Lonchura striata: one gene and its partners. The protein of the gene in region 2 purifies or fractionates together with the protein of the main gene of each other region. This does not show direct contact. Links are inferred from orthologs where the notes say so. Each region holds a gene or a part of one and is shown on either strand. Other genes may lie near its edges. The genes, in order: MRGBP, MBTD1, EPC2 and H2AZ1.

The links.
Region 1: the proteins of MBTD1 (region 2) and MRGBP purify together in Homo sapiens (affinity purification with mass spectrometry; 4 studies listed by BioGRID and IntAct, counting the BioPlex papers as one, with this or other methods). This does not show direct contact. The link is inferred for Lonchura striata from reciprocal best matches to the Homo sapiens genes MBTD1 and MRGBP.
Region 3: the proteins of MBTD1 (region 2) and EPC2 purify together in Homo sapiens (affinity purification with mass spectrometry; 3 studies listed by BioGRID and IntAct, with this or other methods). This does not show direct contact. The link is inferred for Lonchura striata from reciprocal best matches to the Homo sapiens genes MBTD1 and EPC2.
Region 4: the proteins of MBTD1 (region 2) and H2AZ1 purify together in Homo sapiens (affinity purification with mass spectrometry; 3 studies listed by BioGRID and IntAct, with this or other methods). This does not show direct contact. The link is inferred for Lonchura striata from reciprocal best matches to the Homo sapiens genes MBTD1 and H2AZ1.

What each region holds. Positions count from the first base shown.
Region 1 is NC_134619.1:5,558,987-5,566,228, forward strand, and holds the start of MRGBP (MRG/MORF4L-binding protein), read left to right. Parts: upstream 1-4,236; coding exon 4,237-4,456; intron 4,457-5,337; coding exon 5,338-5,459; intron 5,460-5,998; coding exon 5,999-6,080; intron 6,081-6,581; coding exon 6,582-6,659; intron 6,660-7,242.
Region 2 is NC_134621.1:6,273,497-6,281,289, forward strand, and holds the start of MBTD1 (MBT domain-containing protein 1), read right to left. Parts: upstream 3,014-7,793; 5' UTR 2,946-3,013; coding exon 2,925-2,945; intron 2,697-2,924; exon of another isoform or gene 1,129-2,696; intron 1,107-1,128; exon of another isoform or gene 1-1,106. Other genes in the region: UTP18 (U3 small nucleolar RNA-associated protein 18 homolog), read left to right, coding at 3,599-3,889, 3,970-4,097, 4,202-4,297, 5,040-5,119, 5,346-5,431, 6,021-6,146, 6,984-7,158, 7,483-7,583. UniProt on the Homo sapiens protein: Chromatin reader component of the NuA4 histone acetyltransferase complex, a multiprotein complex involved in transcriptional activation of select genes principally by acetylation of nucleosomal histones H4 and H2A.
Region 3 is NC_134610.1:2,339,105-2,346,579, forward strand, and holds the start of EPC2 (enhancer of polycomb homolog 2), read right to left. Parts: upstream 3,006-7,475; 5' UTR 2,968-3,005; coding exon 2,815-2,967; intron 2,694-2,814; exon of another isoform or gene 2,605-2,693; intron 1-2,604. UniProt on the Homo sapiens protein: May play a role in transcription or DNA repair.
Region 4 is NC_134606.1:49,664,623-49,671,904, forward strand, and holds H2AZ1 (histone H2A.Z), read left to right. Parts: upstream 1-4,620; 5' UTR 4,621-4,731; coding exon 4,732-4,734; intron 4,735-5,076; coding exon 5,077-5,154; intron 5,155-5,544; coding exon 5,545-5,658; intron 5,659-6,111; coding exon 6,112-6,241; intron 6,242-6,388; coding exon 6,389-6,450; 3' UTR 6,451-6,782; downstream 6,783-7,282. UniProt on the Homo sapiens protein: Variant histone H2A which replaces conventional H2A in a subset of nucleosomes. Nucleosomes wrap and compact DNA into chromatin, limiting DNA accessibility to the cellular machineries which require DNA as a template.

The DNA of each region.
Region 1 (7,242 bases), on a different chromosome or scaffold from region 2:
AAATGCCAAAAAAAAAAAAAGGGTTCTAAGAGGATCTCCCAGACCCCTGAGTGGTTCTGTGCGTGTTTAAAGGAGCAGACGTGCTCCATGAAAATCTGCTGCCACCCACCGCCACAGCGACAGTGAGTGTGGCTGCGGTTCCAGTGCCAGCTAGGCAGGGTTACTGCTCCTCTGCTTCCCCTCTGCAGATCCTCTCTGCCCATGCTGCCTCTTTGTTATTTTACAAATTAATAGTTGTAGTTAAAAAAAATTAAAATTAAATGCCCCTGAGAAGAAAGGATGAGCTGAACAAGCCTAATCAAATGTTGAAACTGTCAAGGAAGGGAATTCCTTCTGGATCTGTCCGGACCAGCTGGGCTAATGGGACTTTAGTTTGCTGGCAGGTACAATCAGTAAAAATCACCTTCAGTAAAACATACTCTGATGTAGGCTTGGGCTAGCCAAGGATTCAGGAATTGATCCTTGTGCTCAATGTTCAATTGAACCTTGAGCTTGTTCATTATAAATCCACTGGTTCGTCTTTCTGCCTCTCTGTAAGCCTGGGGTATGATGGATTTATCAAACTGAAAAATCAGTAAATGGCTTTTCCTTCTCCAATCCCCTCTGTGCTGGGATATTTTAAAGCACAACAGCAGCAGTAACAAACGCCTCTGTGCATGCTCAGAGATAATTATTTGCACTGTTTTCATCTACTTTGCCAACGTTTGCCATCTGATGCCCACCTAATATGAAGCTTCTCTCCGCTGGGAGAACGAGCACAAATGATCACAAGGGAAAAATTCAGTTTGGGAACATATGTTGGAGCAGAGTGGATCCCCTGTTTGACAGCTGCTGCCCTCAGCCTTGCTGCTTCACCCTCATTGTGATTTAAATTCCCTCTTTTGCACCTGTAAGAAGCCGTGCAGAGCAGATCTTGAGAGTGAATTTTCCATTCAATGTCCTTGTTTAATATAATCTAATACACCTTTAAGCAAAGAAAAAAGGTAATTATCTGGAAGAGGCAATGCTGCTCTAAGGGGCTTTGTGATAAGACTCTAACAACAGACTGCTTTATCTTCTAATAGGGAGAAAACCATCCCCATATCAAACTATCTTCACTGATTTATTAAATGATATGTAAAATAAACAAGCTCCAAGTTTTGGACAATTCCCTGGGCAGCTCTGTTAAAGCAAATTTTCCCACAGATTTCACACTTAAAAAAAAAATGGATTCTGAAAGTACAGCTAAAGCTTACAAATCTCATCAGAACTCTCTCTTCAGGAGGTCCTCCTCAGTCATAAAGGGTATTTTATTCAGAAATACTGGAATGTGCCAAGGTATGGAGGTTACTTATTTTGTAGGAGGACTTATGGATCTGAGAGGAATTTGTTGCAGGAAGAAGCTCCAGAAAAATGTACTTCTGCATGTACTTCTTACCTGTGTAAGAAAAAACCTGTTAGACTCTCTATTCAAGAAGTTCTAAACCACCCCCAGAAAAGGTTAAAAGATTTGGTTTAATGCAAAAGTAGGCAGATGATACTCTTTTACAAATGTTCATGAGGCACACCAAAAGTTACAGGATTTGGAATTAAATTTTTGCTTTGTTAAGGGCACTAGCACATGGTGTTCTAAAATAACGACAGAAATAGTTGTAGCCATATTGCTTATCCCAGAAATCCAACACTTCTAGGGAGAATGCCAAATGCCAGGCAGATTTCTCAGTTGTTGCAAAGTCTTAGGAAATTACTGATCATCTTCTGGTGGGGGAAACACTGATCCAGCCAAGGGCTCAGCACCCTTAGGTGACACAACAACCAGCCAGGTTTTTTAAGCAACCTAAAGAGTAGGGAGAAAAAGGAAGAAATAAAATCATGCACTTCTTACACAGCCCTTATCTGCTTAAACCCAAAAGTAGAATTTAAAGTTGAATGGGAGAAGTGCAATTTTTTCTGAAAAATCTGTTAACTGACTGGGAAAAAAAACCAAACACACACACAAAAAAAAACCCAAACCAAAAAAAAAACAAAAAAAACCCACAAAAAAACCCCAACCTAGTCAAATTTAATGAGGGAAAAAAATAAACTCTGGTCAAGATCCAGGTGGAGGCTGTACGTAGCATTATTATAGGCTCCCATATGTTTCCTAGAGGCATTGAATGTGACAAGGGAATTTAGACACACAGAAATTATTTCTGATTGAAACAAAATAGCAGCCAGTTTGTGCACATACTGCTCCTGTTGCACTAATATTATTGTACTGAATTGAATTGTTTTCAGATGCTGTTTTATTTTCAGAGGTAGGCATCAGTTTTTTCATACTCTGTTTCATGTTACTTTTTTTAGCCATCAGAAGTTAGTGACATAAAAATTGCTGTCTGAGTTGACACACTTATTCCCTCTTGATGTCTTTAAGTAGGAGCATAATGTGACAGATGAGTGCTGAAACTCAGTGTCTCACACAGGCTTAAAAATAAGTTATGCCTGCAAAACTTTGAAAACTGTTCTACTGGGGAACAATTTTTACACTCTGAAAATTTGCTTTCCTTTCTCCCCTCATACAGAAACATGTATGAAAACAGGGATTTAGTTGTGCAGGAGATCATTTCCTCCTGCTGTGCAACCATCACAGGAAATCATAAGCCTTTCTCTCAGTAGCAGCTGAAGACCAGGCAGCAGTGTAGATCAAATAAAAACTGGAAGATTAAACAGGGCTGAGATTTAGGGCTGGGTTTAACTGCAAAAACATGAGGAGCTGTCTTTGAGATTTGCAAAGTCCTGTGGATAGGTAATTTTGGTTCAAAACGAGGAAATCGGTGTGAAGCCTGAGCTGTGTGAAGGCAGACCCAGCACAGCCAGGACACAGGTACAGCAGTGACAGCAGGCAGAAGGAATAATCCTGAGATTCCTGTGGTCTTGATGCAGAGAAGTTGTTCCAGCAAGATCTCTGCTCACTCTGGAGCTCTCAGAGAAAGCTGTTCCTGGAGAACTTCAACAGCATCAAAGCCAGACTGGAGTCACAGAATCCTTTCCATTCCAAGAGGCCAGAATAAACCCCACTGGAAAAGAGGATTTGTATCCAGGCATCCACATCCAGGATTCACACAACAAAACTTCTCAAGGCTTCACACATGAGGTTCTGGGCTTAATTTATTTCAAATGTTTATTTAATGTTAGATTAACCTGTGTGGGGTATTAACTACATCAAGCCCAAAACAATGATACGAGTCAGCTCTTTGGGTATGAACAGGTACAGAAAGTTCAATTACAGAAAATTGCATATTTCCCTTCCTGCTTTTTATTATTTGGATAATTTGCATGAAAATAATATCTCTGCTTGTGAGTGTTTGCCCCCACTGCTTTATTATTCACTCAGAACACTCATTCCTTGCATATGACGCGATCGTTATTTGCTGTTGAAATATTTTTAATGTCACAAAATGGATTAAATCTTCAAGTGAGGAGTGAGCAGTTGGAAAGCCCTATCACCTAAGCAACAGCAGTCCTATTTCATGCTTGTGTGTCTAATTATACTTAACAAGGCAAAAACCCTTTATCGCCGAGGGAGTAATACGTTCCCTTTCTTCCCAAACATTTTTTTTTTTTTTTACATCTTAAAAGATGGGCAAAGCTGGTAGGTTCTGCATTTTGTAACCAAGCCAGGCACAGTTATTTGTTAAGCATCAGCGCCAGGTTGGTATTTGATATAAAACGATCCTGTTGTGTCAAGGAGCAGTCAGGGGGGTTGCAGTGCTTGGGACATCCTTCACCGTGGCAGCTCCTCGTGCCAGACAAGGACAGGCCATGGGGATAGATGCTGAGCTGGCCAAGACCTCACAGACCAGGAGGGGAAGCCCTGGGGTGGCCGAGGCAGCCGGGCTGACCGCCAGCCCAGCCGCAGGGCTCTCAGAACGCAGAGCCGAGCCCTGCGGAGCCCACGGGCACTGCAGCGCGGCCTGACACAGCAGCGCGCTCCCTCAGGCCCTTCCCAGCGCTCCCTAACGCTGCTCCCAGAACCCCGCGAGCCTCCTGCCGGGCAGAGCCGCGGGCTCGCCGCTCCTCAGGGCCGCCCACCGCCGCTGCCCGCCCGGTGCTGCCCGCCCGCGGGCTCCGGCGCTGCGAGCGCGGGGCTCCCCGTCCGGCGGAGCCCCCCCGAACCTGCGGGGCCCCGCCGAAGCTCCCCCGCCCCCAGCCCGGCCCCGGCGCGGCCGAGCCCGGCTCCCGGCCGGCAGGAGCCGCTGCGGGCGCGGCGCGGCGGGGATGAGCGAGGCGGAGGGCGGCTCGGCCGCCGCCGTGGAGAAGCCGCCGCTGCCCGCGGCCGGGCCCGGGGCGGCCGCGGCGGTCGCTGCCGCTGTTGCGGCCGCGGCGGCGGCGGCGGCCGGCCCGGAGCCCGGCGCGCCGGCGGAGGAGGCGGCGGTGGTGTGGAGCCCGGAGGTGGAGGTGTGCCTGTTCCACGCCATGCTGGGCCACAAGCCCGTAGGTGAGCGCGGGCCGCGGCCTCCGGGAGCGGCGGGGCCGGGCGCGGGCTCCGGGCGGCCGGGCCGGGCCGCGGGGCCGGCGGGAGGGAGCGGCGGGCCCGGCCGGGCCGGCGTGCGAGCGGCCGCGCTGCGCCTCCACGGCGGCTCGGAGCGGGCCGGGCGGCGCGGGCCCGGCTCGGCAGGGTCACCGCAGAGCACGCGGCGCAGCGCCGTGTGCCGGCCGGCCTGCGATAAATCCAGCGAGGGAGGCTCCGCAGCCGCTCTGGGCAGTGTGTTCCAGTGCTCGCAGTAATGAGGTTCTTGCCTGTATGCAGGTGGAGCTTCCTGTGCATCAGTTTGTGCCCGTTGCTTTATGTCCTATTGCTCTGCACCACTGAGCAGAGCCTGGATCCATCCTCTTGGCACCCCCCTTTTCAGAAACAATAATTCATAAACATTGTTTGAGATCCCCTCTTAGACATCTCTTCTGAGACTGAACAGACCCAGCTTTCTCTCCTTTTCATTGTCAGAGGGATGCTCCAATTCCTTCTCTCAGTGCAGCCACACCAGGAGCTCTGTGTCTGTATTGCAGTCAGGAGCCCAGAACTGGGCACAGCACTCCCTATACATCCCTTGGGATGTTTCTCACACAGCCCCTCTAAAAACTCTGTGTGTGTTAGAATTAGCCACAGGGGCACCCGCAGCTCCCTAGAGAACAGCACCTGCAGTGTAGGGTGAAAGATCAGCCAACCCCGCTGCCAGCTGTCTCTCCTGTTAATGTATGGATTCCTTGTAACAACATAGCTTTTTTAATTCATAAGTAAATAAATAAATCTCTTTATATCTCTAAGTATCATAACTAAAACTGTTAGCAGCGTTAATTGCACTGGGTTCTTCCCCCCAGGTGTGAATCGCCATTTCCACATGATTTGCATCCGGGATAAATTCAGCCAGAATATCGGACGGCAGATCTCATCCAAAGTGATCTGGGACCATCTGAGCACCATGTATGATATGCAGGCTCTTGTGAGTATATAGGGTTGGTGCTGCCACATGGTTTCATGGAGTTCAGAAGTTTTGCCAGGCCAGAATCACTGGGCCTGTCATGGTACTTAGAATTAGGTGTCATTCCAGTGAGTTGATCGGGTTTTCCCTGAATAAAAGTAGATTAGGTAGGAGACAATAAAGCCTGCAGTGGCTTTTTTTGGGTTTTTTTTTGATACCATGTTCTGACTTTGTTTATTAAAGTCACCTAAATTCTGATCCAGAAAATGTTGATATACATTTATAAGTGTCAAAGGAGAATGTTATCATTGTGTACATAAGAATTTGCTATGTTTGAGTTCCAAAAATGATCTCAGATGATGGTGAGTTGTGATCTTAGGTATCCTGACCTCAGTAATCAGTTTGATATTAGAAGCCTCCTGATTTTCTAACATCTGAAGTGTCTTGTTAAAAATTATATAGCTCCTAATTGCATGTAAAATAGAACTTGAGATTGCATGTCAAAATTCAAATTAAAGTCTTTACCAGTCACTCACAGAGATCCTTCTTTTCTTTCTAAGCATGAATCTGAGATTCTTCCATTCCCTAATATAGAGAAGAATTTTGCTCTTCCTGACGAAATGATTCAAGAAGTGAGAGAAGGTGAGATGTGATTGCAGGCTCTGATTCTTGGTTGCTTTATTCTCATCTCAGAATTTTTAACAAAATTCCCCCCAGAAAACATGTATTGTCAAATCTAATAGAAATGTACAGGAGTTTGACAGAAATCTCAGGTTGAACAGCGAGAGAAGGATTTTGAAATTTAGCTGATGTGTGTTATACAAAGTAAGAACTAGAAAATTCAAGCACCTGCCAAAGACTTCTTGGGATATTTTAAACTTCAGTGGAATGCTTCTCAATTATGAGGTACATTAAACTTTAAAAATTCAGTGAAAAATCTTAGCACAGATAAGACATTGCAATATGTTTTGCCCATGCAGCATTTCACTTTCTCATGTTAATAATAATTTCCTGGCACTGAATTATTGCTGAGCGTTGCATGGACTATTTGCAAACATACAAATATGCAGAGGCTACTAATCCAGAAAAAATTCACGTGGTTCTTTAAAACCATCTAACTAATGCTAACAATCCTTTCTGTAGGAAAAGTAATGATGGAAGAAGAAGTGAAAGAGGAAGTTTTAAAAGAAGAGATGGAAACGCATGCAGGTCCTGAAGAAGGTAATTTTGTAACTCTCTACTGTGTAATACGAGATTAAAAACCAACTGTAATTGAGAAATTAATGTTAAAATGTAAATCCAAATGCAGTGTACTGTGTGATTTGTACTCAGACTTAGCCTGTGCTCCTGCTAAGAACTTGACTAATAGTGCACAGAGTAAGCAGCTGCTTATTGAAAAGATTTCTTTTTTTGCTCCTAATTCATCTGTACAAAGTTGTATAGCTTTGGAGATTTTTTGCTTTAATATGTACTTGACAAACCCCTGGGAGTCTGAAGGAATCTGAGGATCTCTGGAAGAAAGCTGAGTCTGATTTTTTTGAACTTAAATGCTCTGTGTTTGGAACTTTGTAGTCATGGGGGAAATAGGGCCTATAAATCAAAAGAGATTGTAAAATTGCGTGCTGAAATGGGAAGGTGGGCAGAATGCTTATTTTATTTTATTCTCATTATCTTGCTGCTTTTAAATAAAAGGCTTGTTTTCCTAACACTTCGCTGTAGAACAAGTCAAATGTGAACAGTAGAGATCCTGCTATTTATCTTAACAGACCAAGCCAACTGCTAACTATATAATTTCATCATATTT
Region 2 (7,793 bases):
GCAAATGGTATGAAAAAGAACATAGCTAAGGAAACTGGTTTCCCTGAAAGCAGGAAGGCAACTCTAAACAAATCAGAAAATAACCAGTTTCTCACTCTAAATATACACTTTAATATACATATATATACACACACACTGAATTTGATCAACACATTATAGCATACATTCTTTGAGTTTAGTAACTATTCTTACAACACAAAAAATGGGCACAAAGAGTGAGCAATCCATGGCAAAACCAGAAACCATTTCATCTTATTTAGACATCAAACACTTACTTAGGAAATGGCTTTAGTGTCTTGATGAAGACTATACTCAAGCATTGGCAAAATTTATGCAAAAGAGTTTTGAAGGTAAGAACTTGCACAAACAACACCCCATTGTTGTGTAACCAAACCTATTGCCCCCGGGTAAGTGCAGCTGGCCACAGGAGGAAGATCCAAAACAGCAACAGAAAGGTTTCAAATCACTCCAAATGGTTATTGCTACTTTTAAATTCAACCTGGGGTTTGAACTCAGAATGGCAGCAATTTGGAGCTTGGAGTACAAGAGCTGTAGCTCAGCAAAGGTACCCCAGCACTTGAACAGAGGCATCACTTCCCATATTCAGCTCCAACCCTCTCAAATGGGACAGAACTATGGACAGATGGGTCAACAAGGTCAACAATGAGGTCACCACAACCTTCAAGCCAAGGGTCTGGCATAAAACAAATTTACTTTAATCACATATCCTTAATGGATCCAAGGGTATTTCCAAGTTAAATTTGATGCACAGGTTTTGTTTCTAATAGTTCATTGATGCTTTATGCTACAAACTTACTTTCAGGTTTGGATGTTAAGGAAACACCACAACAGAATTAATTTATTTTGAATTTATCTCTTTTGAATGCAAGTTGGCCAAAATAATTTACAGTAGAATAGTAGCTTGTCCCTGTGGAACTGAGTTGTGTTCTGAGGCCTAATTGTGCCTCAGAAAATAACCAAAAAAAGAAAATTCAAACATGGTACCAATTTAAAGAAAACACACTTTCAGCTTTCATTAAAAACAAACAAAGACCCCAAAACTAAACATCTTGGGATTCTTGGAAATCAGAACCAACCAAACTTACTTTTTTTATATAAGCAACTCACCTCTATCTGGAAATGTGCCTTCCACTCTTATTATAAGTAAAATCTCTGCTGGAAAATTACAGAAATGTTTTTTCCTGTCTCTTCATTTGCTATGTATGACAGCATTTTGTCTGAAGCCAGTTTCTGCTGTTTGTCAATGGTTTTGTCCATAGCCTCTTCCCCAGGGGGTTTCACACAAGAGGGGAGACTCTTTCATAAAAAAATATATCACATTAGCAGGAAATTTTGGAGGGGGGGTGTGATGATTAATCTGTGAAATATCTGAGTTTTGATAAAACTAAAAATCTGTTACAAACTCTTTTATATTTCTACAAAGCCCTTACAGGAGTATCAGGAAGAGGCAAATATTTCACTTTAAACACTGTGTTACCATTAAAACAAACAAACAAAACCCCAAATGAAACAAACAAATTTAAATATAAAGAACCCCAAAACCACCACCAACCCAAAACCAAAGTCTTCAACACCTGAATTCATTCCACGTGCTCAGAGCCAGGCTCAGCAAAGGATCCCACATCCCCAGTATGTATACCAACTTACCTGAGAAATGAAGGAATGCAGCAGTGGTTTGCAGGAGATATGAAAAGCCTTGCAAAATTAAATCAAATTTTAGAAGGTAAGAGAAATGAAAGCTAAAGAGAAGGAACTTTTGTGCATATTACCACTGCTGCCAAAGGCACCTTGTTCTTTAGGGAACAGCAAAGAGAATTCTTACTTTCAGTTTGCAATCTTTCTGCATGTGCACAAGTCCAAATATTCTCAAAAACAACACTCAAACTGTTTTTGGGAGACAAGATCCCTCTGCATAGTTTCCTACAGCCCACATTACACACTTCTAAAGACAATTAACCTACCAAGTTTTATTGCCTTCTTAACAGAATATATAATTTTAGTTCTCATTGAAGGCTCCAGATTAGACTCTCATAGCCTTAATCCATTCCATTTAAGTCAAAAGCAAACTGTTGAATACAATTAATAGGTAAATGCAGGTCCTCAAACCTGCAAAATAATTTTAATTTTAAATACAAGAGATTGCCCTGCAGCTTTCAGTTTTGACTAGGTTTAGATTTGAAAAATCACAACAGTTGCCAGTCACATTTTAAAATAAATTGCTTTTTCACACACAGAATTTATCACTATGATCAGCATAAGATTTGTAGCAGGACTTCTAATTTTCAAAGCCACGCTGGGCAGAAATTGCTACACTTTCAAACATTTCCAGCAACAACCTGAAAGCGAAACTGGTTTCACGAGTTTACTACTCCTCGCAAAAATAACAAAATCACAACATCAGAAGACACAAAAATCGCACGGAGAGGGGAGGAAGTGGCCGCAAAGAATCCAAAAGTTTTGAAGTGCTGATAAAAAAGAAAACTCTCAAGCACTTATCGTGACCACGCTGAAGAACTTTAAAAGGCTGAAACAGCAGGAGGAAGTTACTGAAACCCGGCACGACAGCGGAGCAGGGGGAGAAGCAGCTGGAGCTGAAAGTTTTCTCGGAGGCAGGAGAGGGGCGAGGGACAAAACCGGAGCCCGCAACAAAGGGGCAGAGCCGGGCCGGTGCCACGTGCCCGGGCGGACCCCGCCGCGGCTCCCGGGACGGGACCCTCGGCGGGCCCGGCGGGCACGGCCCCGGCAGCCCCGCACCCCGGCGGGGCCCGGCCCCGCACCGCGCCCCGCGGGCGGCCCCGGCCCCCTCCCGCACGGGCACCGCGGATCGCTCAGCTCCCGCCCCCGCCGCGCTCCTCCCGGCCCCCGCGCCGCCTCCCGCGCGGCCCGCGGGCTCCGGTACTCACCAGCTCCTTTGTGCTTTCCATCAGGCCCTCATGGGCAGGAGCCGCCCGCTGCCTCCGCGCGCGGGCGGCGGCGGGCGGGGCGCGGCGGGGGGGCGCGGCGGGGGCCGGGCCCGGCGGGGCGGGGACGGGCCGGGCGGTTCGGCCGCTGCGAGCGCCGCGGGCCGAGCGGGGCCGAGCGGGACCGGCGGCGGCCGCCGGTACATCAACAACACGAGCGCGCGGCTGCGCAGGCGCGGACACGCCCCCGCCGCCGTCGGGCTGCGCGGAGCGGCCCCGCTGCCATATTCCTCCCCCCACGCTGGGCGAGACCATTCCTTACCGGAGGTGGGCGCTCCGCGCCAAGGCAGGGACTGCGGGGTGTAAGAGCAGCCGTGTCTGGCAGAGAGAGGCGATGCGCAGGGGAGGTGCCGGTGGAAGGCCAGGAGCAGCCGGTGAGGGACGCCTGTTGCCTCCCGGGTGGGGGATTCCCCCCCGCGGGTTCGCAGTGGTGCGGCCCAGGGTGGGCGGGAGCTGAGGGCGAAGGGAGGGGAGGAAAGGAGTCACGTGACCGCGGGTCGCCGCTGGGGGCGGGCTCGGTCACATGGGGGGGGTGTTGGCGTCCTAAGCCAATCGCGGGCGGGGGCTGGGGATCACGTGATCGAGCGCACGTGTTCCGGTTCCGGGTGTGGCGCGCCATGCGCGGGCGGGCGGCGGCAGCGCCCGGGAGAGCGCCCGGGATGAAGGCGGCCAAGAAAACGTCTAAAGGCGCCAGAGCGGCTAAAGCCGCGAAACCGAAGCGGGCGGCGAAGCAGCTGCGGGCCGTGGCGAATCAGGCCGCGGGTACCGAGGCAGCACGGCGCGCCCGGCACCTGAAGGCGCTGAGCCGCGCGTCGGGCGCCGAGCGGGAGCTGGAGGAGCTGGTGTTCGGCGGCAGCCTCCCTGAGGAGGAGGACGAGCTGCTGCGGCGCCTGGCCGGGCCCCGACGGGTACGGCACAGCCGAGAGCCTGCTCGCTGCCCGGGCTCCGGGCCCTGCCACTGTCACACGGTCCCTTTGGTTGGTTTCAGGTTGCTGCTGCAGAGGGGAAGGGCCTCCAGGATGACTCTAGCGATTCGAGGGTGAAGAAAAAAGCGAAACGCGGGTTACTGCTCAAAAATCCCGCCTGGGTGGATGAGGATGACGAAGCTGAGGAAATGTAAGTTCAGGTTAGGTGATGGGAATTGTGTATTACACTTGGGAGTGCTTGTAAGCGGCCTTGGTTTGAACGGTGTTTGTGTTCTGTTGGTTTTTCTCCTCTAGTGTTGATATGACCCATAAATACAGGAAAGATTTAATGAAAAGTGATGCCGAGACAACGCTTACTAAGAAGAAACTAAAGAAAAGACTTGAGGAACAGTGAGTTTCATTAATGTTTTTGTGGCTGTCTGTATTGATCTCATGATCATTGCTCTCCAAGTTGGGTGCCAGAAGGATGTTGCCAGATTCTTCAGTGGCACTTTGAGCAGGACAAGGGGCAGTGACCATGAACTAAAACACAAAAAGTTCCATCACAACATGAAGAAGAATTTTTTTCCATTGAGGTTGACAGAGCACTGGAGCAGCTGCCCAGGGAGGCTGTGGAGTCTCCCTTGGAAACATCCCAAACACACCTGGACATGTTCCCACCTGCTCCAGGTGACCCTGCTGTAGTGAGGGGTTGGACTGGATGGTCTCCCTTCCAAGCCAACAATTTTGTAAGCTAAAATATATTTATGTGACATTCATAGTCACTTTACTCTTTATCCACTGTGCTTATGTGGTCTCTTTAAAGTCAGGGCTTCCTGCAGTATTTGTAGTGTTACTAAATAACAAATGATACCAAAAATAGTAAATTAAATGTGCGTTAGCATTGTCTGGATTAAGTTGTTTAATACTTATATCAAAGTGCCCAAACTAATTTGTTTTCTAGGGAATTATGCAAGAAACAATGAAATTTTAATTTTTTTTTTTTAGGAAATTAAAAAACTTGCATTGTGTTCTAAGTACAAGTAGTCCTGCAAAATTCTGACTGTGCTTCTTCTAAATACTTAACTCATAGAAGGAAATTACTGTCTCACAAAAGTTATGGTTTTTTTTCTCTTTCTCCTTTTCTCATAAGGTTTCAGAATGCCATGGGAGGAGTTCCTGCCTGGGCTGATCTAGAAAACAGGAAGAAATCCAAAAGGACTTTGAGTGATAGTAAATATTCCCAATGCTATTCTGATAAGAGTTTCTGTGATTCCCTATTCAGCTTGCTAGAAGATAATTACTTTTGATGTCCTCTTAGTTTCAGTGGTGTAATAACATGCTGGCTATGTCAGCTTTGTTCCTTCAATGTGCTTTAATTCATTTCAGTGAGGAATGTGTTGATTTTGCTGTGGGTGTTTGTGCAATTAGCTGATTCCACGTGCTTTGGTTTAATGAGGTGACACTGATGAAGATGATGATCTGCTACGCAGGACTGGCAATTTCATAACCAGCTCAGAGTCTCTGCCAAGAGGGATTTTGAAGGTAAAGACAAACCTTATCCTGCCACTTCAGCTGGATTAAATGCACACTTTGACTCTTGTGGTGTATAAAATTAGTGATTCTTTGAATTTGTTTCTGCAACTAGAAGCTTTAGAGGATAAGCAAATTGAACAATTCACATGAGAGTATGAAACAATAAACTGAGGTGTGTTGTTTGACATAAGAATTTTCTGCACTCTAAATAGCATCTTGTAGTAGGATTTTAATTTCTGCAGAAGGATGGAATTCTCCTACAGCATTGAAGTGACTGATAAGATCTTTAAGAAGACAGCCTTAAATGAGTATTTCTCACACTGTCTCCTGCAGCTATCTCAGATGAGTCAGAATGCAGCTGGTTTTATATTCAGTTTTAATGCAGATAGAAAGGTTGGTGAATATAGAAAGGTTGGTGAATTCAGCCTGTATTATATTGGAGCAGCTCCCTGAATGGGCTGTGTGTGCTCTGCTCACATCACACTGCCCAGAACTTCATCACAGGGCTTGAGGTCTTGTAAGCGCAAAGAGTAAATGGCTTTTTATTCAGCATGAGTGATTGTTGGTGGTTTTTTTAACTGTCTGATCTGTGTTGTAGATGAGCACCTGCCCTCCTGCAAACCAGGAACGTTTTGCCAATGGAAAACTGGTGACAGTGCAGTTTCATCCTTCAGCTCAAGTGGTGATGGCAGCTGGGCATGATCGCTCTGTGTCCCTCTTCCAGGTGAAAGCTTCAGTTTGTACCTGCTGATGGTCACTAACATAGAACCTTTTCTTTGAGTGTACATGAAATAGCCTGGAATGGTAGACTTTGTTTTCTGTCTTCCTCTGCACACTGTCAGGGCTTACATAATGTCTGTGGTTACAATGGAAATTCCTTGGTTAAAGGCATCTTGGAAGGAATTTCCACCAGTGACTTCACACCAAGCATGTGCAGAGTACTGGCAAACACTTTGTCTCAGAGTTTTTAGGCAAAGATTTGTGTTTAAAAATGTTTGAAGGTTTGCAAATGACAAGTGCTAATGAGGATTTTTGTTGCTAAGTGGTTTGGAGAGCCTGTAGTGGGGGGAGCAGCCCACTTTGCTTTGAGACTGTAAAATTGCTATGAAATCATGTTGGGGATGGAGAGACTGTGCTGCAGGAAGATGTTCATCCAGAGACACTGCCAGGCTCCTCTGAAAACTAAAGATCCTAATTTAATTTAGGAATTCTTAGCATGGCCCAGGGTCACTGGAATGGTCAGACAAGTGGAATGTGATAGTCTCACAGAGCCACAAGAAAACCCAAATCAAAGCAGATGTTTCCATTTAGAAAAAGCACAGTAGAAGTGATTATTTGAACAAAGCAAGAAGTGTGAGGTCTATCAGAGAGGCAGAGTTACATCAGATAAGGAGCTAAGAACCAGATTATTTGTAGGAGAGGGGAAGAGTTTAAGGCTTCACAGTGGTGTACCTCTTATTACTTAAGTCTCAACTGAGAAGTTGATAATGATTTTTCTCTATAAAAGTGTTTGATATATTCCTCAATATAACAACCTGGTTTGTTACTTTCTTTTTTGAAGGTGGATGGTATAAGGAACCCAAAAATACAGAGCATCTATTTAGAGAGTTTTCCAATTTATAAGGCTCGTTTCAGTGTGGATGGAGAACAAGTTATAGCCACTGGTACTCACCACAGAATGTTCTTTGTGTATGACATGATGGCTGGGAGTATCATCCCTGTCCCAAAAGTACGAGGTATGTTTTGCAGCTCTGAGTGTCTGGGCACAGTTGAAGCTGTCTGAAATAGAGATGGCACATGAATTTGCTTTAAAACAATGTAGAGTGGCTTGTTGGAGGTTTTATTTTTAACTTATCTTCAAGGAAATAAAGTACCTTTAGTGTTAATTGTCTGGGATATTAATTATCACACACAAGCAAGGTTGAGTTCAGCTTCTCTGTGACAGCATATTGCAGAAATTAAGAGCTGGAATCAGGTCTTATTCATATTCATCCTATCTCTAAATATTGAGGCCAAAGAATAAATTGCACCAATTTCAAGTTTCAAATCTCTTTTTAAAGGTGTGGAGGAAAAATTCCTCAGAAACTTCGAACTCTCTCCAGATGGATCATTTATGCTGCTAATTGGAACTTCAGGGTACCTTCACTTGCTGTCCATGAAGGTACTTTCTCTGCATGGTCTGTGTAGCTTTGCTTCCTTGGTGCCTTTTCCCTTTTGAATCTGCTTTTATTTCATCTGCAAAGCAATCTAACTTTCAGCTGAAGCCAAAGTATGACACATACTGTAACAGCCCTCAAAAATGTGCTGTGGAATCAACCCACTGCAGCTTTAGGGAATTATTTTGGACTCTCTGAGACTTTATTTCACAGCT
Region 3 (7,475 bases), on a different chromosome or scaffold from region 2:
TGGCTGATGCATCTCGCACTATGTTTATGTATTGCTTCAGTCGTTTCATTTTGAGACTATTACATAATATATCAAACACAGCCACATGTCAGGGCTGAGAAAACAAACCTCACTCACACAGAAAAACAACTTTTTAGGACAACACTCAGGTAGTTTTATTGAAGTAGAAATCTAATCTTCCCAATCATTTAAGAAGCCCATAAGCAGCTTGTTTGCTTGAACTCTTAGAGCAATTTTCCATTAACAACTTTATTTTAAACATGATTTATCAAAATAACAGCAAATTTAAAGAATTAATTTAAATATTAAATGCAACTTTTGAGGCTGAGAAAACCAAATTAGTCTCCAATACTGCTTCATTAGAACCCCAGTGCTGTTCCTTTTAACTACAATCCAGCTTCTAGCAGCATTACTCTCGGGGAATTCCTGAGGTTTTGATCACAATGTGAACACAGTAAATTAAAAAATAAAAGCTCACCATAATACGACAAAGGATTGCTTTTAATACCAACAGTCAGGTGAGAAAAAGCAACGAGGAAAGCATGGAGCCTCCTTTGACAGCTGTAACCTCGGAAAAGCCAATCCACAGGCACAGAGGTTTGGCCGAGGCGGAGACACGGATTCATTGAGGAAATTCTGGAGGGTGCATTTACTATCGGCTCTGCAAGTACAGACACATCAGGCGACAGCCTCTGTCTGAGCTTACACAACTCCCAGGAGCAGAAAATAAACCTTACTCTTACAGAAAAGTGTTTGAAGATCAGCAGGACAAAGCAGCACATTCAGAGGACACCAGAACTGCGGGCAAGCGTTCTCAAAGCTGTCCTGCTGCTCACCAAAACCGCCAGAAACTTATGTTTACCTCAGCGCACAAAAGCTTTGCCACCCTTTAACACTACGAGCAGAACACACATCACACGTCCAGGCTGAACACCGGCCAGGTGATTTGGAAATAACATTAAAGCTCCAACGCTTCACGCAACGCCTCTGCCGAGAGATGCACTGCGAGCAGCAGCACAAACCATCGGTGTTAAATAACTCCGAGCAGCACCGGGGGTGGCTGCAGGAACGCAGACACTGTCCCACAGCGGGAGCCAAAGCTGCTGTGTGCCCTCGGCCCCACATGTGCACAGTGTGTGTGTGTGTGCCCTCAGCCCCACATGTGCACAGTGTGTGTGTCCTCAGCCCCACATGTGCACAGTGTGTGTGCCCTCAGCCCCACATGTGCACACTGTGTGTGTGTGTATGTGTCCTCAGCCCCACATGTGCACCGTGTGTGTGTCCTCAGCCCCACATGTGCACACTGTGTGTGTGTGTGTCCTCAGCCCCAAATGTGCAGTGTGTGTGCCCTCAGCCCCACATGTGCACACTGTGTGTGTGTGTATGTGTCCTCAGCCCCACATGTGCACCGTGTGTGTGTCCTCAGCCCCACATGTGCACCGTGTGTGTGTCCTCAGCCCCACATGTGCACCGTGTGTGTGTGTGTGTGTGTCCTCAGCCCCACATGTGCACTGTGTGTGTCCTCAGCCCCACATGTGCAGTGTGTGTGTGTGTGTGTCCTCAGCCCCACATGTGCACTGTGTGTGTGTGTGCCCTCAGCCCCACATGTGCACAGTGTGTGTGTGCCCAGAGCCCCACATGTGCAGTGTGTGTGTGCCCAGAGCCCCACATGTGCAGTGTGTGTGTGCCCTCAGCCCCACATGTGCAATGTGTGTGTGTGTGTGTGTGCCCTCAGCCCCACATATGCACAGTGTGTGTGTGTGTGTGCCCAGAGCCCCACATGTGCACTGTGTGTGTGCCCTCAGCCCACATGTGCAGTGTGTGTGTGTGTGTGTGTGCCCAGAGCCCCACATGTGCAGTGTGTGTGTGTGTGCCCTCAGCCCCACATGTGCACAGTGTGTGTGTGTGTGTGTGCCCAGAGCCCCACAAGTGCACACAGTGTATGTGCAGTGTGTGTGCCCTCAGCCCCACATGTGTACTGTGTGTGTGCCCTCAGCCCCACATGTGCAGTGTGTGTGTGTGTGTCCTCAGCCCCACATGTGCAGTGTGTGTGTGCCCTCAGCCCCACATGTGCACAGCGTCTGCACCAAGCGCGGGCACTGACAGCAGCCCAAACCCCACACGGAGCTGCCGCCGGGCTCGGGCACACCCGGCCGGAGCAGAGGGACAGCGGGCAAAGGCAGGAGCCGGCCCGGAGCCGCTCGTTCCCTGCGGAGCGGCTCAGCACAGCACCCAGCACTTTCACACCGCCGCCACCGCCTCCCCGGCTCCAGCCCGAGCGACTTGACAGCCGCTCACAACAGCGCCGGCAGCAGTAGTATCAGCTTCAGTCCACAACGCGCCGAGCACCCCGAGCCGCTCCGCCCGGCCGGCATCCCGAGCCCGCTGCAGACGCCCGGCATCCGCAGCCGCTCCGGCACCCCGCGCACCCCGCGCCGGCAGCCCGGCTCCGGCGCTCCGCTCCGGCGCTCCGAGCTGACACCCCGCGCTGACACCCCGAGCCGGCTCCGGCGCGCCGCACGCTCGGCGCTCTGCCATCCCGCGCCCCGCCGGGCAGCCCGCCCCGGCCCGGCCCGGCCCGTCCCGCCGAGCCCCCCCGCTCACCCGCGCCCGGGACGCGCAGCAGAAGATGGCGGACGGCGGCAGGGCCCGCTCGCGGCGCCGGACCGCGGCTTACGCTGCGCCGTTTGCGCAGCGCCCCGAGCGCCCCGCGGCGGAGCGAGCGTAGCGCGCTTGGTGAATACCGGCGGCCGGTTCCCCGTGCGGGGGGTGCCTGTAAACAATGGTGCCCCCCCTTGCGCCGCGCTCCCTTACCGATTCTTCCTCCTTCTCCATCCCCGTGGGCATCTGCGGCACGGCCCGGTTGATGGAGACGCAGTCGTTGAGGTCGGGCATGTCCTTGCCGCGGTAGATGGGCAGCGGTTTGGCGGCGTCTAGCGCCCGGGCGCGGAAGGAGAGTTTGCTCATTGTCTCCCCCTCACAATAACACCCCGGGGCCGGGCGGGCGGGGGGGGGGGGGGGGGGGGCCTTCAGTGCGGCCTCGCCGCCGCCTCCCAGCCGCTCCCGCGCCGCGCCCGCGCCACCATGGAGAGTCCCGCCGCCCCGGCGCAGCTCCCGGCGGGGCCGCCCGTAGCCCGCAGCGCACGCCCCGCAGCCCTAGATCCGCGCCGGGCTCGCTCGGTCCGCTCCCTGCGCCATGGCAAACATGGCGGACATTAACCACAGCCGCTCGGCCCTCCCGGCAGCCCGCGCGGCGGGAGCGGCGCTGCGCGCGCAGCCGAGGGCGGGAGGCTGAGGGAGCCTCGGGAGCCTGAGGGGGGCGGCGGGACCGGGCGGCAGCGGAGCGCGCCGGGCGTCCCGGCGAGGAGCCGCGCTGTCCCCGCGCTGTCCCCGCGCTGTCCCCGCGCTGTCCCTGCAGCCTCCGCTGGGTCCCGCTGTCTCCCTGCCGTGCCCCCGCGGTGTCCCCACAGTGTCTCCGCTGTCTCTCCGCAGTATTCCCGTGTTGTCCCAACAGTCTCTTCCCAGTGTGTCCCCACATGATCCCCACATGATCCCCTCTGTCTCCTCATAGTGTCGCCACAAAGCCCCACACAGTTTCCCACATTGTCTCTGCCGCGTCCCCAAAGTGTCCCTATAGTGTCCCCCCTTTATCCCCCACAGTGTCCCCACAGTGTCCCCCCTTTATCCCCCACTGTGTCCCACATTGTCCCTGCCATGTCCCCATAGTGTCCCCCCGTATCCCCCACTGTGTCCTATATGGTCCCTGCTGTGTCCCCATAGTGTCCCTGTAGTGTCCCCCCTCTATCCTCCACAGTGTCCCCATTGTGTCCCACATTGTCCCTGCCATGTCCCCATAGTGTCCCTATAGTGTCCCCCCTCTATCCCCCACAGTGTCCCCCCTGTATCCCCCACTGTGTCCCACATTGTCCCTGAGTGTCCCCATTGTGTCCCCCCTCTATCCCCCACAGTGTCCCACATTGTCCCTGCCATGTCCCCATAGTGTCCCCCTGTATCCCCCACTGTGTCCTATATGGTCCCTGCTGTGTCCCCATAGTGTCCCTATAGTGTCCCCCCTCTATCCTCCACAGTGTCCCCATTGTGTCCCACATTGTCCCTGCCATGTCCCCATAGTGTCCCTATAGTGTCCCCCCTCTATCCCCCACAGTGTCCCCCCTCTATCCCCCACTGTGTCCCACATTGTCCCTGCCATGTCCCCATAGTGTCCCCCCTCTATCCCCCACAGTGTCCCACACTGTCCCTGCCATGTCCCCACAGTGTCCCCCCTGTATCCCCCACAGTGTCCCACATTGTCCCTGCCATGTCCCCACAGTGTCTCCCTTGTATCCCCCACTGTGGCCCACATTGTCCCTGAGTGTCCCCACAGTGTCCCCCCTGTATCCCCCACTGTGGCCCACATTGTCCCTGCCATGTCCCCATAGTGTCCCCCCTGTATCCCCCACTGTGTCCCTGCCATGTCCCCACAGTGTCCCCCCTGTATCCCCCACTGTGTCCCACATTGTCCCTGCCATGTCCCCATACTGTCCCCCCTGTATCCCCCACAGTGTCCCCACATTGTCCCTGCCATGTCCCCACAGTGTCCCCCCTGTATCCCCCACATTGTCCCTGCGTGTCCCCATAGTGTCCCCCCTGTATCCCCCACTGTGTCCCTGCCATGTCCCCACAGTGTCCCCCCTGTATCCCCCACTGTGGCCCACATTGTCCCTGCGTGTCCCCATAATGTCCTCCCTGTATCCCCCACAGTGTCCCCACATTGTCCCTGCGTGTCCCCATAGTGTCCCCCCTGTATCCCCCACTGTGTCCCTGCCATGTCCCCACAGTGTCCCCCCTGTATCCCCCACTGTGGCCCACATTGTCCCTGAGTGTCCCCATAATGTCCTCCCTGTATCCCCCACAGTGTCCCCACATTGTCCCTGCGTGTCCCCATAGTGTCCCCCCTGTATCCCCCACTGTGTCCCTGCCGTGTCCCCATAGTGTCACCACTGCTTGCCCTGCAGCATCCACACCGTGTCTGCACAATGTTCCTGTTGTGTCCCCACAGTGTCCTTACAGTATCTGTATGTCTCCCCAGTGTCCCCACAGTGTCCCCACTCTCTGCACAAACCAGCAGGTTTGTCTCCTCAGCGTGTTGGTCAATGTGGACTTAAAGAGTTCCAGCCATGAAGATGTCAGGAGGGTTGACACAAAACAACACTTCAGAAATAAACTTGTGCTTGTGCAATTTTATATTTTTTTCCAGAGAATCACAGAATATTTAGGGTTGGAAGGGACCTCTGGGAGCCATCCAGTGCAGCCAGGGTCACCTGGAGTAGGTGGGTTTGGAATGACTCTGGAGACACCACACTCTCCCTGGGAACCTGTTCCCATCCTCTGCCACCCTCATGGAAAATTATTCCTCATGCTGAGGTGGAACTCCTCGTGTTTTAGTTTACTAAACTCCTTCATCACTTTTTCCATCAATAACAATGTTCTACAACTTGGAACTGAGTAACCCCATATTCTTACCTGGGCAGAGCCTCAGTCCTCTACCCACCCAGAGCTTCCTCTGGAATGCATGAGTTGACATTAGTCTGCAAAACCCTTCATCAAAGACCCTTAGTACCTCAAATACCTCCACACTTCCATTTAATTTTGACACCCAGAGACCAAGCAGCTGCTTCTCTCACCTCCACCTTAGAGCTCTCACAGAAGTTGTCAATATTACCTTCTGAAACAAACTGAAACTCTTACTCAAAACTTCACTGTTTGCATCACTGTGCCAACTGTACCTAATTTCCATTTTTTTTAAATTCGAGAAAAAATTGGTTCAGTCTCTGAATTGCCTTTTATTTTTAGTTACCTGTTGTGTTTTTTATTTACATGGTTCTGTATAGCAAATACAACTGCTGTTTGTGACAAACACATGATTTACAAAATGAAGACTAAAGAATTGTGTCAACTAGAGAGAGAGAGAGAAGGAGGATGAAACAAGCACAGGAATACACAGGAGGGAAACAGAAAACAGAAGGAGCAAGAACATTGTGTTCATCAGCCACAGACACAAATTAGCTTGGGAAAGAGATCTGGAAATTATATTAACTACTGCTATGAAAGCATCAGGTAAGAGTCCAGTCATGTGAGAACACGAAGCTTTAAAAGCATGAGAAAAGGAACAGAGAATCAAACTGTGATAGGCTGCACTTATTTATAATTCCCTTAGAGTAGTTTTATTTCATAAGAAAGGCAATCCTTGCCTTGGATTAGAATTAACAGGTAAATATTTAAATTTGATATAGTTTAGCTTGGACTTTATAATTCAGCACCATTTTAGAAGCAGCCAAACTTCCTACACCCAAAATGGGTTTGGTGCCCCTGAAGCAAGTGGGGCTGAGCTGGCAGCAGAGGAGGGCTGGCATTTCAGGGGTGATTTCTGTGTTTTCCACCTGGGTGCCAGCAGCTGGGAGTTGTGAGCCCTGCTGCACAGGTGACATCCCTGGGAGAGGAGCAGGCAGCTCCTCCTCAAGCACTTCCAAAAGACACCACGACTTTCCTCTTTCTGCTTCTGCAAGGAACAGGCATTTTACACACTGCTGGAAGACTTTTCCCCCTTTCAGTCAGCACAGCTGAACAATAGATAATAACAACCTTTTCCCTTTGTGTGGTGTTCTGCTCTTTTTCACTACTTACATTTAAAAAAAATGCAAAAATGAAACATATTTACCCTCCAGGTGGCTCTTAGTCCTAAACTCATCCCATTATTTTATTTCTACAAGCAATGCAATTTTTTTTTTAATGATGCCCTGTAGGGTACAGAAGGAGTTTTTTATGTAGTCAAAAAAGCCATTGCACAGAGCTGAACATGGGCAGAACTAAAGTTTCAGCTTGCATTAGTTCAGCTTTAAGCCAGAACCATCCATCTTTTAAGCACATAATCTGATCTCTTCCTCTTGTAAAATATTATAGGTTTTCTGAAGAATTGTAGCTGTAAAAATATTAGGAGCTGTAACTCACCTGTAGATAAAATAATTTACTTTTCATGCACAAATCAAGGAAACAATGTCTCAAACAAAATTACTTGTTCAATAGCTGAATTCTGACTCATCTTCATGGAGATAATGGAATTGAATATGCAATTTGAACATTGGATTGACCAAAAATCCACTAATTTTATTTAAATATATATATCAGTGGAAATGTCAGAGCTGTATAGGCTCGAGGGCTTCATCACATCCTTGCTTTTGGTTCTGCTTCTCCATAGTGACACTTAACACAAGGAATCCTTGTTCTCACTGTAGCTGCCTAAAGCCTGGGATATTTCTACAGATTTTTTGCAGATTTATCCTGTTTATTTCTTGGTTTTTGTATGTTTTTTTTTTCTTAACACTTCATATCTCGCTGCATTAATCTTCTCCAAGCAGAAGCATCACTTTTGGATTATCTCATTATTATTGTAATGATTATTGTAATCATTATGTAAT
Region 4 (7,282 bases), on a different chromosome or scaffold from region 2:
GCACAGATAAGAGGAAGCAAAGCACACAGCAAAAAGAGAGTGTTGAAGGATAAATTTCTGTGTAAGACAATGGGAAGGATGAGGTTAAGGAGTTCTGGCTGTCACCATCTTATTTCACCTTGCCTAACTAGCTGTAGTTTCCTTTCAGAGCTGGCTAAACAAGAACAAAAATATTAATACAGTTTAGTCATTACGACATTATTAATAGCAAACAGAAAGGTGTACCATTAACACCCTATAGTGTGGCTATAGGGGTAATTCAAGTCTTCCTGAAATCAGTACACAAGTGTTATCTGCAGAACTATTACAGAGACTTGTATTTTGTTACAAGTATAGAAATTTATCGGAAAAGAAACCCTCCTGCTTTCCAGTTGGTCCTCAGAGGCGCTAGGTGCAGTTAGGTTTAATTTTTTTATTATAACCAATTCAGCACTGTAAGCCCAGCTGCATTCAATAAGATCCCACAGGCACCAATACAGTGGGTCTCATTCACAACCAGAGATTCACAAATCAACTTACCAATGAAACACTCTAAGTCTGGCTGGGTTCAGAAGAACTCACACAAATACAGGCTCACAAACAGTTGTGGAACAACAGACTGTAATTCTTACAGATTGGCAACTATGGATTCATTAGATGTGCAAAATATAAATATATAGTACTATGTACAAGTACTTCCAGGTATGTTCTAGAGGTGCAAATTTTACAAAAGAGGTATCCCAAATTTCGGGAAGGAGAGAGGAGTAAACTCTTGGACTTGTCTGCAAGGTAATAGTATTTTCAAACTCTGCCATGGAGGATTTCAAATACCAAATCACATTTTTTGGAGAAGTGGAAGTGAGAATGTAGTCAAATATTCTGTTAGCTGCTATCACAAAGGGGAGGGGTAGACCCTTTATACCTAAATGAGGAATAAAGAGAGCTATAAAAAGAGAGATTACAAATGCTGTATGTCTTAAGCAGGGGCAGAACAGGACTGTGACACCTAAGTGTTACTCCCTCTTCCAGCTGGATTGCAGTGATTAGAATCACCTACAATCTACAGATAAAATAACCTATCCCCCCAACGGCAGGCCAGCAGGCCCATGGTAATCCCTTCACCACATATCTCACACCAATCTCATTCCTACAATGTGTGAAGCTGTTTAGAGATAACAGATAAATAGCTATATCTATATATGTGAAGCTGAACAATCGAATCCATTATCACTACAAACAATACAACAGTGCTGGCACAGAGGGTGGGATTTTCCTGAACCTAAATACAGCAGCCAGCGAGGAGACCCAACTGAGCACAAACCTGCTATTTGACAAATAATAACAGGGGCAAATACAAGTCATACAGGAATTAATCTCACCACAAAAACTAGAGCCTGAATAATTTAAGTGGTGTCTAAAAATAATCCCTTACGAACTATATTACTCACCTAAGGGGAGTTGGTTCAAAGTTTAGCATACTAAAACCTCTGACTAAAAACTGTGTACTAAAAACTTAACTGCTTAGCTGTCACCTAAAAAATTAATTTCTTAAATGCTCTCTGCCTAGCTTTTGAAGTTCCACAGATATCCAGATTTGTATCCTGGGAATACCATGGCAGAGCTGAGCACCTTGACATGTATCTCCCACTTAAACTTATGCAGGATCCAGAAACTGTAAAGTTCTGAAGGCTGTGGTACAAAGAGATTTCTGGGAATGCTTCATCAGCCCACTAAAGATGATCTCCACCACTTCTGCAGAAATTAAAATTCTGCAAAAAATGAATTCAAGAAAGTCCAAATATTATCATGTCCATAGCCCAGTACTTAGAGAGGGCTGAGAAGTAGTACCCGCTTTAGAGAATTTGTTTATGTTTTTGAGGCAATTTGAAATAATAAGGAAATAATACCAAGTAGTAGGCAGAATAGAAAAGAAAACAACACTATACTCCAATTCTAAAGTTCTGAAAACCCAGGCAGGTGGTTGAACAAGGCAGCAGCAGCCTGAATGCTGGGCCGTGTGTGATCCTGCAGCAAAAGCAGCTCAGGCACAGCCTGCCCAGCACAGACAGCACTGCAGTGCCCACACAACATCAGCAATGAGAAGCACCGGAAAAAACTTCACAGTAAAAAAGCTGGGGCACAAGTGCTGGGTAAATGATGCAAACATTCACCACTGTGGCCTTCAAAGGGAAGACCCTTGGAGATAGGCTTTCAGTACAAATATTATAAATATCATTAGGAACATGGAGCTGGTGAGTACTCCCTTTGGCTCCTTTTGTGCATGTGGGATTGAGGTTGAGTTATTTGCACTCACAGCTGGGTCTGAAGTTGCTTTGGGATTGTTCCTGTGTACCTAAGTTTGTTTCAGTTTATCTCTTTAAATAGCAGAGAGGGGAGTTCAGGTTGTGCTCGTGAGAGTATCTTGCTAGCCAGCATGAGGCGATCTGAGGCTGGTTTCATGTACTCTACCTGACCCATCCCTAGCCTGATCTGTGTGGTAAATATATATCCTTGCTTTGGTTTATCTTTGGTGCTAGGCTGCCTTGCCTGGTAATCCCAGCTGTAAGGAGCTCCAAAGCAGCCAAAGTGAGCTGTGTGGAAAGTTCATGTGTGAAACAGGGAATGTCTGTGGCAGGGGTTGTCTCTATCTGATAGGAGACCTTCTTCCTCTTCCTAGGACTTGTGTGGACAGAAACCAAAGAGAAAAATAATTTTTTTGTTTCTTCCTACATCTTGAATGGTGTTCCACAAGGGTATGATGGCCTGCAACTTAGTTCTCTTTTCCTGCATGGTAAAGGGCACATGGATCCTTGATTTTCAACACAAATAGTTTTTAAACAGCATGCTGAATGAAATCTTAAGTTCTGCAGGCTTTTGTAAAACCTTGAGGTTTGTTTTTAAACCAACTCTCCCCTCAAAATCCTTCAAACCCTCTTATCTTTTTTTCTTGCGGAAGGAGAGTATAAACAACTGATGATTCAAATAGACAGAAGCACCAGACAGTTACATAAAAACAAACTGCTAGATCCCTGCATGTAGGAGTGTCTGCTCTCAATTCAGTCCTGCCTCTCTGTGAATGTGCCTGGAAGTAGGTCTCCCCACCCAGAGATGATAGCAGCTGGGATTAGATGCCCGAAACAGGGTGGTGAAGTAATTGATGATGTGGCCTTAGGCTGTGTAGAGATTCAAGCAAAGGGTCCTTTATAGCCAGGGCACCAAGTATTTGCAGTCAGATGTGGGAGAATAAGAGCCACAAAGTTTTAAATCTTTTCTACTTGTGTGAACAGCTTGAAAGACCTTTAAGTGAAGCTCTAGGGATCAGGACATATCCTGTCTTAGAGCTCTGAGTACTTTGGTTGCTGTAGACCTGAATAAAGGGGAAAAGTTATGGTGTAGAGAGAATTCTCATGAGAACTTTATGCCCTCAGCTCTACGTCCCATTAAATGTCTGGCTGTAAGAGTATTCATTGTGCTCAGGACCCTTCAATATCAAGGCAGAGGAAATACAAACTACAAACCCAAAGTGGTGGGTTTGTGATCAGGTTGGTAAACTGCATGACTGATCTATCTCGTCTTCTCTCTAAAGAGCTGCTCAGCCATCTGAAGGCCGAGGTCTCTCTCTGAGCTCACTGCATGCTCACAGATGAACAGTAAATCTCTCAGATAATACAGATTTACAGTGTTCTGGAAGAGCACAGTGAATTGTTACTTTTTTGAAGCTGAAAATATAGGATTAACCAAAAACAGCATCAGCTGAGCTCTGAGGTTAAATGGCAATATACTGAAAATGGCAACCCAAAAAAAAACCCAAATGGGTTAAGGCTTCATTTAAGGAAACACAGGCAGGGATTTTGAAGTGCCCAAGGTGAGGAAATTTGCACTGCATTAATTGTTACACTTTGAACATAATTAATGATAAACTGCTTTTAACTGTAGTTTGTGAAATATCCGGTGACACAAGGGTGTCTGAGGCTGGGTGGTCCTAGGTATTGGTGCATCCCCTGCTTATAATAGGGGTAAAAATAAAAATCAGTGCACATGTGTAGTGGTTGGCACTTCTCCAGCCCGGAATCTTGAGGAGTTCATGCGAGCTTTATTCGACGCCCCTGAGCAGCCTCGTGTCCTCGGCAGTGTAATAGCTCCTCATCCCAAACGCGGGACAGTGTCCTTCGGGCTGCTCCTGAGGCGCTCTGCACACAAAGCCAATTAACTCCACTGTGGAGAGAAAGCTTCGCCGGCAGTGCGGCGGCTCTGGAGCGACCCGAGTACAGCGGGACCTGGCGATACAGAACCCCGCGAAAATGAGTGGAGTGACTCCGGGCAGGGTCTGTGCCGCCGGTCACCCCAGGGAGACCCAACCTCAGAAGGGGGGGCCGCCGCCGAGGCGAAGGAAGCCCGCACACGGCGGGAGCCCCGACGGAGCGCGCCCCGCCGCCACGCCCCGCCTCGCACCGGCCCGTGAGGGCGGGGCTTCTCCGCTCCCCGCCTCGCGCGGCCGGCCCCGCCCCGGCACGCCATTGGTTGTCGCTGGGGCAGAGCGGCCGCCCCGTCCGCCGCCATTGGCTGGCGGCGAGGCCGGAGTTCCCGGATGTGGCCGCGCGGTGCGGATATAAAGGGCCGGGGGAAGGCGGGAGTGGGCGCAGTTTGAATCGCGGCGGGTCGAGTCAGCTTGGTGCTGTCGGCCGGGCTCGGTGCGTGCGGGACGCTCTCTGCTTCAGCCTTCCCCTGCGCGGCACTGCGCTCCGGTTCGCTATGGTGAGGAACCGCGGGGGTCGCTCTGGGGGTGGGCGGCGGTGCTGGGGCCGGGGCGGCTCCGTGCCGCTGATGGTGGGGGGGTAAACCGCGCGGGCGCAGTGGGGGGAGGGCGGGGGCGGCTGGGGGGCGAGGGGGTGGTCGCACGCGCAGTGGCGCCCCGGGGACGGGGGAGCGGTGGCCGCGCATGCGCGCGGGGAGCGGCCTGTGCCGCGCGGTGCGGCAAGCGGCGCGCACGCGCCTCGCGGCCGCGCGGGTGACTGCGCCGGGAGGGGGGGTGGTGGAGGGGCGGGGCGCATGCGCGGTGGGGGACGTCAGCGTCTGCTCTCCTCTTGGCATTGCTAGGCTGGTGGGAAAGCCGGGAAGGACTCTGGGAAGACCAAGACCAAAGCAGTGTCCCGTTCCCAGCGGGCTGGATTGCAGGTGAGCAGGGGCTGAAGTGTGGGTGAGTGAAAGTCAGGCTGGCCTTCATCTGTTGGTTTGTTTGTGCAGTGTGAAACCTTCACACTCTGCTGTCTGGCTGTTGCCTGGAATGATATAAGGATTGTAAAGCAGACATCAGCACACCCAGCTGGTTTTAGACCGTTGCATATCTGTGCAGGGAGGAAAGTAATTCCCTTGTGGCCATTGCTATGTTTGTGCTGAGAATCATGAAAGTTGCTTATGTGAGTTCGGCATGCAGTGTCTTAACTGTATTCTCAAGGTTTGAAATGCAGCCTGTGCTTCTGCCACTGGGATTCTGCTGCCCACAATGGGGTTTTGTGCAGAGCCTTTCTGTCGTCACAGCCTGTTCATACTTCCATTATTTTCCAGTTCCCTGTTGGCCGCATCCATAGGCACCTGAAGTCTAGGACAACTAGCCATGGGCGTGTAGGAGCCACAGCTGCTGTGTATAGTGCTGCAATCCTGGAGTACCTGACAGCTGAGGTAAAATGCTTGCAAGGGGTGCAAGCAAATTGATCAATCCCCAGAAGGCACAACAACCAGTGCCTACTGTATTTGACATTTTGGACTGGGTTGCGAACTCTTTGTGTGCTTTGAAGCACTTCTAAAGTGTCTCAAAAAGCAAAAGACCATGAAAAGTAACTCCTCTATATTTCATGCAAGCCCTGCAGCTTGCCTTGTAGGAAAAATGCAGTGTGTGAAATAACTTTTAAAATGGACCATTACAGCATGTCTTATCTGCTGTAGAAGACTTACTCTGTCATTGGGAAAACTAAATGTGAAGCTCCAAAGGAGGAACCCCTTGAAAAGAGACATTGTTTTCTGTTTTGGTGTTAATGGCAGTGACACTGTATTTGGACGAGAGAATTGAATAGCTAAGACTGTGCTGTTGGTCTCACTTGATTGTATAACTGTTGAAAAATGGTCTTGTCTCAGGTCCTTGAGCTGGCAGGAAATGCATCCAAAGACTTGAAGGTGAAACGTATCACTCCCCGTCACCTGCAGCTTGCCATTAGAGGAGATGAAGAGCTTGATTCTCTGATCAAGGCAACAATTGCTGGTGGTGGTATGTCAATACTTGCTGTTTATGGGTGCTTGGGTGGCATGAACTCTCACAGACTTGAAGTTCATTAGTGTTGTCATTTTATTGGAAGTGTGAAGTTTAGGAAAATTGAAGAAAAACAGCATGGTCTTAACTGTTGTTCTTTTTTAGGTGTAATACCACACATCCACAAGTCTCTCATTGGCAAGAAAGGACAACAGAAGACTGTCTAAAGCATACCAGGATTCCTTGTTATCTCAGGACTCAAAGTACTTAATTTGTCCAGTGTTGGTGATTCCAGTGGACTGTATCTGTGAAACACAATTTTGCCTTTTTTTAACTTTGAGAAGCTAAAGCTCCCTTGAGCTTTCTAACAAACCAAATTTCTGCGTTGAAGTCTTAACCATATTTAAGTGTTACCATGGCTTCAAAGAAGCTATTGTGTTTGTAGTGGGTTGTAATTGAGCTGACTGTTTTTAGATTGGCTTAAGTAAAGGAAATGTTTGGTTTTGTACAGACTTTTCATCTACTAGAGTGGAAATAATAAATGTTATGTCAAGACTGATTTGTGTCTTTCATTAACTGGAAAATCTGGTCTCCACTGTGCTGCTCTTGAAGTTGTTCTGAGAGCAAGTAACTGACAACCCTTCCTGCTGGGCTTGGGGCATCTTGAAATACAGCCTAAGACTACTGCAGCCAGTAAATGCCATGCAGTGAAAGTGCACAGGGCTTTGTCCTGTGAAGTTACATTCTTCCTAATTGAGCCTACTGTGCCATGTGCTGAAGTTTTCTTTAGCAGGGCACATAAAAGGCTGATGTTATTTAAGGCCAGTTTTAATCAGTGTCAGCCTTTGTAGAGGGTGAGGGTCTGTCACGGAGGAGGGTAAAAGATAAGTTTCAAGGGCTGTTTAAATTCCATGCTTCACATAATTTCATGTTAGGGTCTGGCCTCTTACTGTTTCAGCTTGCAAAAGCTTTGGCTAGACACCCACAAAAGCAGGGACTGTACTGCAGCAGCCTTTTAAATTGTGCCATGCAGCAAAAACCTCAGTAGTGGATTTCAGG